Linked DNA regions of Arabidopsis thaliana. The protein of the gene in region 1 purifies or fractionates together with the protein of each later gene. This does not show direct contact. Each region holds a gene or a part of one and is shown on either strand. Other genes may lie near its edges. The genes, in order: MAG2, AT5G24350 and AT2G42700.

Region 1 (3,754 bases):
TATATCATTACCCGATAAAATATGTTTAATCATTTGTGTAACAATTATTAAAATTGTTTTTTTTTTTTTTTGATAAGGTGAAACAATAAATAAAAGTTATACATGTACATTACATCCGTATATGAGTGTTCATAATTTTGGAAATAAATTAGAGACAATTCCTCTTTTGACAGATCAAAACAAGCACATCTTGCAAACTATGTGATTAAATTAAATTTTTTGGTCGTCTCAACTTGTGTGATTAAATATGTATATGTGTACTTTCAAACTACTAACTTAAGGTATTGTTTTGGTTTTTTATAATCCGTAATTAAAAATCCGAGGATTAAAAGAAACTATAAAATGTAACCCAAAAATATCCAAATAATAATATTTGTGAATTGTGATTAACTAATCAATATACGGTACTATTGCGTGGTCAGCTTGGATCTCAGCTCTCGTCGGGGCACATGAGTTTTTGGAATATACAGCGAAGAATCACGATGTGTACTCTCTTTTAATTTAGTTTTTATTTCTTTGGTTTAACTTTTCTAATATAATATTAATTTTTAGCGTACGGTATACACACTCAATTGATTACAAGTTCTCAAGTCTACTTCTCATTGTAATAATCAGTTCTGAAATTTTTCAAATGTAAACAGAAACTTTTTTTTTTTTTAACAGAAACTTGTTTCTTGCTAAATGTCATTGCTCCACTTTTTTCATTCCAAATAATATCATTAGATGATTAAGATTATGTATTACAAAAAGTAGAGAACCTAAAACAGAGATGATCCGTGCCAAACAAAATTATAAGAAATACAAAGGACATTAGAAATACACAAACTAAGAATCCTTGGGAAATTAGAATTTTTAGCCCACACTAACACCCAACCAATTTTCGATGTTGTGTGTTTTTTATATCCAACCAAGTTTAGAGGTTGTACACAAAAAGAAAACACATGAAATATTGTTTTTGAAAGTGTGAAGAAACCCAAGTTGAAGGAGTCTTTAAAATATTGATAGAACTTTATTAGATTTTAGTACGATAGAATTCCAAGAAAGATTACGGAGATCTCTTTGCCATATGGTTTCTGTCTCAATGATTCGCTTCTATGTTATTGTGTAAGATGATTTATATATACAAATATGTACGAGACTCAATACTACACATTTCCTTAGACAACTCGAAATTTATTGTTTATTTTAGGAATCATATGTACTTAAATATACATGCGCGTGTACATCACACTCTCGGTTTTATATGAAATGCATGCAAAATACTAATCCTGAGTTTGCTGGTGCGATTCCATTGATTAATTATCCTAATTTGGCTTAAAAGAATGGAAACAATGTCATCAAAATCCTCAAATTGTTTAAAACGTTAATTTAAATCCTCAATTTTCCACGAAACAAAATAAATATCAAATTTCTGTCGATTTTTCAAATACTGTAAAATACCAAACTTTTATTGACTTTCCAAATAAATAATAAAATTTTGTTGATATAGCCATATTAGACATACCGTTAAGTGGGATAACAAATCCTGCTATCAAAGTTCATTTTCTCTTAATAGACTCGTTAATTGAAAATGACAACGTTCTCTCTAAGAATAAAACATCGTCTTTTTGTCATAACGGGTCAATTAAATTTTTAATTTCAAGTCATATAGGAATTTAAGGTTAAAGATTTTGCTCGATTTGGGGATCCATGATTGATTGAATTTGGAGATTTTGCTCGACGTCACTTTGTTTTTTTTTTGTTTTTTTTTCGCTTTGTTGTTATAGAAAACAATAACGTTTTGTTGTTATAGAAAGCAATAATGTTTTGAATTAACGGGTATGTTAATAAAAAATTAATTTTGTTAACGGAATCTGTTAATCTACTTAACATCATGTCTAATATGACCATTAGCAAATATTTTGTATTTATTAAGAAAGTCACATAAGTTTGATATTTATTAGAAAAATCAACATAAATTTGATATTTATTTCGTTTCGTTGGATGTTGAGAATTTAAACAAATGTTTTCAAATAAAAGTTGGAGATTTTAGTGATAATTTTCCGATAAAAGAATGTCATTTCTTTGAGAATGCCATTACAGTTTTAATTTACTTGATATGTTAAAAACATTTTTGTGGGCTTAACCAGGGCCCATTAATCCGAGTTACCAAAACTCGCAACTCGTTAACACTCCGAGTCATTGACTCAGTATCTTCTTCCAACGAAATTTCAATTTTTCATTGTTCTTGATGAAACTGAGGCCACGACGAATCGCAAATGGAGGCGATCAAACCACTTCCACAGGTCTCGAGCTTCTCCGCTTCGGTATTTAGCTTTCTCGATGGCAGATTCAAAGAATCCACGGATCTCTCTCATTCTACGGGTCTGGTTTCCGAGTTACAGACGGAGATTTCCGAATTGGATCAGAGATTGGCCGGATTAAATCGCCAGCTCGAGTCAGGTCTCGCTGCTTACGCTTCGTTTTCCGATCGCGTCGGTGGTCTATTTTTCGAGGTTAATGCCAAATTGGCTGATCTCTCTTCTTCTACCTCCGTTACTCGCTCCGCGTCAGGTTCGTATGATTTCATCACGATTCTTCTGGATGTAGATTATGTTCTTGAAATGTTGTAGTCAAATATGTAAATTCAGTCCTGGTGATGGAAGATTGAATATATTCCCGTTATAATTTGAGAATTTGATAATTGTTTAATTCATTCAGATAGCGGAAAGGAGGAGGAGGCGACGGAGCATGTAGCCGGAGAGGATCTTCCTTCATTAGCAAAGGAAGTAGCACAAGTTGAGTCTGTGCGTGCTTATGCTGGTATGTTTGGTGTTAAGGCGTTTTGTATTTGATGGCTGCTTTCTGATAAAGACTAGCTCTATTTTATGATTTGGTGTTATCGATGTTGATCGGGATTAGTTAGTCCCAAAGTTGGAGTTACCAACCTTCTTTCTTAGTTTGGTCACTGTGGTATTCAACATTTTAAGATCTTTCTCTATGTTTCAGAGACTGCACTAAAACTTGACACTTTAGTTGGTGATATTGAGGATGCTGTGATGTCTTCTTTGAATAAAAACTTAAGAACATCTCGGTCAAGTGGTTTTGAAGTAAGCACACTGTCTTCAGCTTAGACTGTTCCGTAGTTTTAGCCAGTGTGTGTGGTTCAATGTTCTAAGTTTTTACTGATTTCAGGAAGTGCGTCTACATGCTATTAAAACACTTAAAACGACAGAAGAGATACTGAGTTCAGTAGCAAAGAGACATCCTCGGTGGGCACGTCTTGTTTCTGCTGTTGATCATAGAGTTGATAGAGCTTTAGCTATGATGAGACCTCAGGCAATTGCTGATTACAGAGCGTTGCTTTCTTCTCTTCGATGGCCACCTCAGCTTTCTACACTAACTTCGGCAAGTCTTGATTCAAAGTCAGAAAATGTTCAAAATCCGCTTTTCAACATGGAAGGGAGCCTCAAAAGTCAATACTGTGGAAGTTTTCATGCCTTGTGTAGCCTGCAGGGGTTACAGTTGCAAAGAAAGTCGCGGCAGCTTGGGATCCATAAGGGAGAAAATGTTCTTTTCCACCAGCCACTCTGGGCTATTGAAGAGCTGGTCAACCCTCTGACAGTTGCATCTCAGCGACATTTTACAAAGTGGAGTGAAAAGCCAGAATTCATTTTTGCCCTTGTGTATAAAATCACAAGGGACTATGTCGATTCTATGGATGAGTTGTTACAACCGCTTGTGGATGAAGCAAAACTAGCTGGGTACAGTTGCC
Region 2 (3,754 bases), on another chromosome or scaffold:
AGAGTCTTCTTAAAAATGAGCAGCTACTTGAGGTACAAACAAAGTTAATTTTCAACGTATAAGCTGTTATGCAAGATCTGTGATGTGGCATGATTTGGTTTACTAGATTTATTAATCAAAAAGGACACATACCCTGGAAATTTTGCTTTAAAGAATAGGATCTCTCAAGACACTAGTTAACAAATTTATTTTTAACCTTACTTTCTGGGTGGAACATTTTCTACACTACCTGTAATTATGGCATGCTTGGATTCACCGAGCCAAAATAACCTCGTCCACTCACTGTGCAACCACTTTTCTTACATTCAGTAGAATGATTACGGATTTTTTGTGAATTACTGAAACAAATAAGCTTCGCAGGTGATAGAGACTTTCCAGCTAAAGATCAGCGGAAATCAGCTGATGTCCAGATGTACGAAGTGCAATGGGAAATTTATTCAGAAACCTCTAAGCATTGAAGAAGCTATTGAAGCAGCAAAGGGTTTCCAAAGAATACCCAACTGCTTATTTAACAAAAATTTAGAGTTTTGGCAGTGCATGAACTGCCATCAACTATACTGGGAGGTAAGTCACCTACCCCATCTTTTGCCGTTGTGCATTATAGTTCTTGAACGAGTATACCTTGTGTCAAAAAATCATCTGGTCCATCTATGTTAGTTGTTTTGCTGATTGAACAGTCAAATTTTAGTTGCCTAACGATATTTATCAAATCAGTGATCCAATTAATATTTGTATGAAGTCTTAGTTGGTGAATTGAATCTTGATTTCTTTAAAACATCTTCATGTGTTCATGTCTTAGAGCAGAAATCATCTCCACAAGATTCATAACTTCCTATATAGCTCTGATCTGTTCTGTCTCTAATAGTCAGTGTCCGACATATTTAATGTTTGTTATGTGGTTTCAGGGAACTCAGTATCATAACGCAGTCCAGAAGTTCATGGAAGTATGCAAGTTGAGTGAGTGATTCACTTTTTTTTTTTTTTTTTGGGTTTTTACAATTTTGGTGAAGTGTTCAATCTCTCGTTACCTCAGTTCCTCAAATGTTTTTATTTTATATCAAACGTCTCTAAGCAAACAAGATGTGTTTGTAACTTGTGTCGTTTGCACACATGTGTTCCAGAGGTTATTAACCGTGTACAAATGTTTTAGTTTGTTTTACAAAGTTGAACACATTACTATCTTATGAGAAGAATAGACTTGTAGTATTTTCTATTTACCAGTTAAATTCTTGCATAATTTTCAAAGTGGAATATTATTTTCAATATGCTTTCTTGAGATGATGGCTTTTCTAGCCGTAGATTCATGCATTTTAAATATGATGATATACCAAATTTAGGTATTGTGGATTGGATTGGTCTAGTTCATTAGTTAGGCAAAAAATTTAACCTCATCAAATCAACATTACCTCTCTTCCTAATTTTCTCCATTGAATTCTTGTTCAACCATTTTTTTTCTTTCACTAGCAAATACGGTGATGAACTCGAAAATGATATCTTTGCGACAGATGAATTAACCGGTATAATTGGAAAGCGTTTCTTGAGCATCAGTGTTCCTACTTGAGGAAGAGTTGTCTTGTAGACCTAAACAAGAGATCAATTGCCCCAACACGAAACTATGTAGATCAAATAAGTATTTAGTTCACTCTTCTTTGCTCACTTCAAATATGTTTTAGACTTATTAGAAAATCCGGTGAGTCAGATATTCGACGGGCACATTCACATCGGAATTAATAGTTTCATAGGGTGTTGTCTCTTAAATTTGGACCGACCGGTTGGATTGCCTATCTGCCGTATAAAGAAAATAAGACAAGAGAACATTAATTTCATGGTTGAACCGGACGGTTCTTGGCTAAATTGAACCGAACCGATTGATTTCAGAAGGTATGTATAACTTTTTTTACGGAGTCGTCATCACTTTCTCTGCTCGTCGGCGAAGTTCACATTCACCGGTCGTATAGTGTCTTCGTCTCCTTCCTCGTGAAATTTGTTCATCACAGTCTCTACAGTCACCACCATAGGAGGTCGTACCGCCGGATCTTCGCCACACCATTAATTTCTGCGTTCTCTCTTCTCAATTCGCCGCCGATCTCTCTGAGCGTAATTACCAAATCGTGCTTAGGTATGTCATCAAATCTTGTCTCACACCTTCCAATTCATCTCCATGCACTAATTCATTAAGTAATTAGTCAAGGGTTTAATTCAAACTTTATGGTTAAATCGACGAGAGTGCTGATGTTTTGGGGTTAGGGTGTGAAGAAAATTATATTGATTCTCTCTCTCTCTCTCTCCTGCTAATTAGATCTCCTTCTCCTAGAAACTGCTGTGAGGATCGATCTCGATTGATCATGGAAAGTCCTGGAAGAAAAGTTTTGTATGAGATACGTCATCATGCTTCATTGCCTTATGTTCCTAGATATCCTCCTCTTCCTCAGGTACAAGATTCATCATTGCTTATACAATTTAGTGTTTTACTTATATCTTACGCTTTGATCCGCTGTCCAAGTTTAGGCAGATGGAACTAATTCGAAAGGAGGACTTCGGTCACTTGTTTCCATCAAAGGTCAGTCGCAGATGGTTAACTCAGAGATCTGTGATTTTTGAATCTTTGGTTTTATGAGCTTGTAGGAATCATGTTTGTGTACATCTCTTTTCATTAAATTAGCAGTATAGCTCATTGGTTCTTCATCTCTGTGCTCTTATGGTATTAAGGTGTTAGTCAACTCAAGGAAAAGTGGAGTGAATACTGGAATCCGAAAAAAACTAATAAGCCGGTGTCGTTATTTATTTCACCAAGAGGAGAACTTGTGGCTGTCACTTCTGGAAATCACGTTACTATCTTGCGAAAGGATGATGATTACAGGAAACCTTGTGGCAATTTTACATGTAAGAAATTCTGGCATATCTTCCCTTGCTTTCACAAATGTTTGCCTGATTATGTTTTTCGGGGTCATTGCCATAGCACACTCAATAAACGAATTTGTAGAATATTGCATTTATCTTGTCAAAAACTATCTACTTGATTTACTCTGATAACAAACGCCTATAAAACTTGCATTTGCTTCTTTTTCTCTCTAAGTTTAGTATGTGGAATCACCGTTTTGTGAAACCTTAGACTGTACCAGTCATTTATTCTGTTCATTAAAAAAATATGCTCTCCTCACAATACCGTTTTCCTTCTTTCTGTTTCTTAACTTATGGTCCTTTGATGTCTATGCTATGGTCCTCTAACTTCTGTATTCTGCATCAGCCAGCATATCAGGTTCATTTACTTCTGGAGTATGGTCCGAAAAACATGATGTTCTTGGTCTTGTGGATGATAGTGAGACCCTCTTTTTCATCAGAGCTAATGGCGAAGAAATAAGTCAGGTCACAAAAAGAAACTTGAAGGTTTCTGCACCAGTATTAGGATTAATGGAGGACGACTCTGATTTGCAACCATCATGCTTGTACGTTTCCTTCTGTTCATATTTCTTATTGATTAAGACTTACAGAGTACTTTGTTCAAAAAAAAAAACAGACTAAAGGAGTACTCTGGGATCCTAATGTGTCCTTGACCATTACAGTATACTTGTTTGCTTAAGGTCTACGGCTGATATGAAATTTTGACTGGTGGTCTGTGCTAATGATAATTTGCCTGCAGGTGTTCGTTCAGTATACTTACGTCAGATGGACGTATTCATCATGTCGAGATCAGTAGGGAGCCAAGTGCTTCTGCCTTTTCCAAGCATGCTTCAAATAGTGTCTCAAAGCAATT
Region 3 (3,754 bases), on another chromosome or scaffold:
TTTGAAAGATTCTTCTCACAGATTCTTACCTGAAGATTATGCCAATCCCCTGGATTCCTTGAATCGCTTAGGAACGGTGACTTCTTTGTATCGATCACAAAGTTTATTCCTATGTCCACATACCCTAAAAGTCCCCCTGGGTATCGAGTTAAGAGATCAATCGTGTTCCTTACATGGAGGATCTTTAAGTTCTTGTGACTCATTACTTCGTCTCTGAACTCCTTGTTTCCTACCTGTGGACAACCAAAGACTATAGCAGTGACCGGAACATCATCACTGGAACCGTTCTCAGCTATATCATAGGCGGCCAGAACAGCCTCTGTAGCTCCCAAGCTATGTCCAGTCAACACAATGCTCGGTTTCTCGTCCTTATACTTCAACAGAAGCTCCTTGATCTTGGCTAACAACTGTGACCGTAGACTCAGCTTAGTGAATTTCGATTCGGGGTGATTAGAAGTATAGATTGTGAGCCACCCGAGCATCACCTTACACCCTTCTTCATCTTCACTGTCACTATCAAAAGTCGTACCTTCAACTACACCACCAGAACCATCCTGCTCGGGTCCGTGCAGCAAGGGGTCAGCTGAAGTTGGCCTAGCACCCAAAACATTGACCCACTCATAGTTCCTGCTCGTTCCTCTCAAAGCTATATAGATCTCACGGCGTCCTAAAGCCTTAGACCGTTCATCAGACGTGACAGCAATGTAGCCAAACCAGTTAGACTCACGGTCCCAAGAATCTCTTGATTGTGATTGGAGAAGCAAACCTTCGGGGAGAGAAACACGAGCTGTGGCGTAGAGGAAGTTTACAACCTCGTAGTCGGAAGCGTTTTCGAGCATGACCTTGTCGAAGAAAGAAGATTTGCCGTAGCGGCTGGCTCCACAGTACTTGGAGTTTTGGTCGTTGACGAAGGCATCGTAGGTGGCTTGACAAAAGTCGCCACAACGTAAGATGAGTTCCCTAAGTGATTGGTCTAATGGGTCTAAGATAGTGTCCCAATTCTTTGAGCCTAAGAGTTCTTCCCATGATGTGGTTGTTGTAGCCATTAGAGAGAAATGGTGTGTGTAAGGAGATAATAAGTGACTCTTGACTCTTAAGTTGTTTAACTTTATACAAATGGTTGTGGACTGGTGATGATGCTGTCTGACCCACTTATGTCCAAAGCGATAAAAGGTTATCACTGGTGTGGGAATATTATTGGCATATAGAATTATCCACAAACTTGCACATCATTCTCAACCATACAAAAAAGAGTAAAAATAAACCCAATCAAATAGAGAGAAGAAAATTCAACCAAATCAATCGATACACACGAAAAGAGACTTATTGTTTGTTTGCAACTAATCAAACGCGACGACAGGCTTGTCTTCGTCGTCCGGAATGGCCATGACCCAATCACCAGCCTCGGTCTTGAGCATGCCTTTGTTTTTCGCGACCCCACCAACACCCATCCTTCAATAGTGCAAATGATTTGTTAACCAATGTTATGTTTCAGTTAATCACTTTCATCTCCAATATATCCCCCTTTGATAACATTGCATCCTAGACCCGTTAACTAATATATGATGGGCCATAATAAATCAAAGATAATTCAAAGCCCAAAAAGTGTAAAAAAGCCCAACAAAGTGACGATCATACGACGAACGATATCAAGTTAAGCTATCATGTTCGTCGTCGGTGAGATTTCCCGGCGAAGCGAAAGCAGTGTTTCTCCGGTGGTTCAGGCATCAGTCTGATTTCAGACAACACATCTCATAGTAATTTGATTCTAACTGGCGATTTCACTCTAGCTCGACCAATTGTATCCAATTCTCGTAGCTGAGAGCAATGGCTCTGATCGATGTCGCGATATCTTGTCTCAATTCGATCCGCGAAGTAAGAAATCCGAATTCTCTTTTTTTTTTTTTTTTTTTTTTTTTTCATCTGGTCTCATCTTGTTACACGTTTTGATCTGCTGCACCTGAATCATTACGATTTCTCCATGATCTCGTTTTGCTCGTTTTTGTGTGTTCTTGGGAAATGTAAAAGTACCTTACTGTAATCCTGAACAAGTAAGGTTTAGATATTTTGGAAATGTTTTGTTTTGTAGATAGAAGAGGATGTAAAAGATGCGATTGTGTATATCGATGCTGGCTGCACAGAAAGTTTTCAATTTGTAGGAGCTTTCCCTTTGTTCTTGGAACTAGGTGCTCGAGCTGTCTGCAGTCTTGAAAACATGACTTCCTTAGATGCGGTAAGCTTGTTACCGTTTCTTTTTTTCCTGCACAATGTTGGCTAAGGAATATCCTATCAATCAACGGTTAGTGTTGGTAATTGAGGATCTAGATAAAGAACAGGAAGATTGTTATCCTCATACTTTTGGTATGAAGGGGATCTTTTTACCTAGAAAGTGAGAAATCTTCTGATTTAATTTATATGATGTGACTTTTGATGCCTTGTGCTCTAGGTGGCTGATTGGAATTCAAAGTCTGATTGTGCCAAGAGAATTGTGATTATGACATCTCGACTTCTCAATGATGCTCATCGGTATATGCTACGGTGTCTAAGCACCCATGAAGGTGTTCAGCGCTGCACCGTATTCACATCTATTTCAGAGGTGCTCTTCTTTAACGTTATCCTTGGTCTCATTCTTTATTTAATCTCTTTTTTTTCTCTGGATATATATATTGGCTTTTTTATTTTCTAGAACAATCACAAGCTATTTGACTTATCAACACTAGTGATCGTTATATAATCAAATTCAAAGTGATTGTAATGTATTCTCTAACTTAATTTAGCAGTTCTGCTTCTCTATGCCTTCTTCAAAATAATTTTCCATCTATAAGAGACTCTTCAGAATATTTGTTTCTTTTCTTGCGTCATTGAATATTAATCTGAACGTTGTACAGGGGTCTCACTCAGCTATCCCTGATTCACCTCTAGGTCCAGACGCGTATCGAGAGTATGAAACCTTACTTGTTCAGGATTACAATGAACATACTAAGAAAAGCGACAAAATATCTAAAGACAAAGGGGTTTCTAAGTTCTCTTCTGCACTTGAATCCCTTACTATGGAGCCTATTGAAAGCGAAAATGTAGATATTTCATCAGGTGGTGCACAAGGTTTGGTTGTCTCAGTTCACCACTTCCCCTTGATTATTTGTCCTTTCACTCCTCGAGCGTTTGTCTTACCTTCCCAAGGATCAGTCGCAGAAGCGTCCTTGTCCCGTCAACATGAGGATTCTCTTAGTTTTGGTTTGCCTCCCATAAGTACTGGATCTATGTCTGACACTGATGATGTTCCTCCTGGTGCAACTCTTACCGCACATTTTCTTTACCAGCTGGCCCTTAAGGTAAACTAACACTGCAGTAACCGCTTTGAACTTAATTCACGATGTTCATGAAGTACGTGAGCTAGAACACTAGAAGATATCTGTTTCCCTTGTTTGTCAATAATTTAATTTCTTCTGTACGTTTTTCTTAAATTTGTGACCATGTCGTCACTTTTTTAAAATTGTAGATGGAGTTGAAGTTGGAAATATTTTCACTTGGTGACCAATCGAAGAATGTTGGGAAGATTCTAACAGACATGTCAAGTGTTTATGATGTAGCGCGTCGTAAGCGATCTGCTGGCTTGTTACTTGTTGACCGCACACTTGATCTTATCACTCCCTGCTGTCACGGGGATTCACTTTTCGATCGTATCTTTTCATCTTTGCCTCGGGCAGAAAGATTTTCTTCACAAGCACAGCTTAAACAAGGGGTCCCAAGCATC

Evidence for each region.
Region 2: the proteins of MAG2 (region 1) and AT5G24350 purify together in Arabidopsis thaliana (affinity purification with mass spectrometry, with the first as the bait; one study listed by BioGRID). This does not show direct contact.
Region 3: the proteins of MAG2 (region 1) and AT2G42700 purify together in Arabidopsis thaliana (affinity purification with mass spectrometry, with the first as the bait; one study listed by BioGRID). This does not show direct contact.

What each region holds. Positions count from the first base shown.
Region 1 is NC_003074.8:17,585,083-17,588,836, reverse strand, and holds the start of MAG2 (RINT-1 / TIP-1 family), read left to right. Parts: upstream 1-2,129; 5' UTR 2,130-2,258; coding exon 2,259-2,553; intron 2,554-2,700; coding exon 2,701-2,802; intron 2,803-2,988; coding exon 2,989-3,089; intron 3,090-3,174; coding exon 3,175-3,754. UniProt on the Arabidopsis thaliana protein: Functions in the anterograde transport of storage protein precursors from the endoplasmic reticulum (ER) to the Golgi complex and in the retrograde transport from the Golgi complex to the ER.
Region 2 is NC_003076.8:8,299,192-8,302,945, forward strand, and holds the start of AT5G24350 (neuroblastoma-amplified sequence protein), read left to right. Parts: upstream 1-1,913; 5' UTR 1,914-2,119; intron 2,120-2,299; exon of another isoform or gene 2,300-2,314; 5' UTR 2,315-2,345; coding exon 2,346-2,432; intron 2,433-2,508; coding exon 2,509-2,560; intron 2,561-2,709; coding exon 2,710-2,883; intron 2,884-3,247; coding exon 3,248-3,446; intron 3,447-3,640; coding exon 3,641-3,754. Other genes in the region: AT5G24340 (3'-5' exonuclease domain-containing protein), read left to right, coding at 1-32, 361-657. UniProt on the Arabidopsis thaliana protein: Required for proper maturation of seed storage proteins. Forms a complex with MAG2, ZW10/MIP1 and MIP3 on the endoplasmic reticulum that may be responsible for efficient transport of seed storage proteins.
Region 3 is NC_003071.7:17,776,637-17,780,390, forward strand, and holds the start of AT2G42700 (vesicle docking protein), read left to right. Parts: upstream 1-1,637; 5' UTR 1,638-1,827; coding exon 1,828-1,875; intron 1,876-2,037; exon of another isoform or gene 2,038-2,089; coding exon 2,090-2,233; intron 2,234-2,446; coding exon 2,447-2,596; intron 2,597-2,888; coding exon 2,889-3,332; intron 3,333-3,499; coding exon 3,500-3,754. Other genes in the region: AT2G42690 (alpha/beta-Hydrolases superfamily protein), read right to left, coding at 30-1,046. UniProt on the Arabidopsis thaliana protein: Required for proper maturation of seed storage proteins. Forms a complex with MAG2, ZW10/MIP1 and MIP2 on the endoplasmic reticulum that may be responsible for efficient transport of seed storage proteins.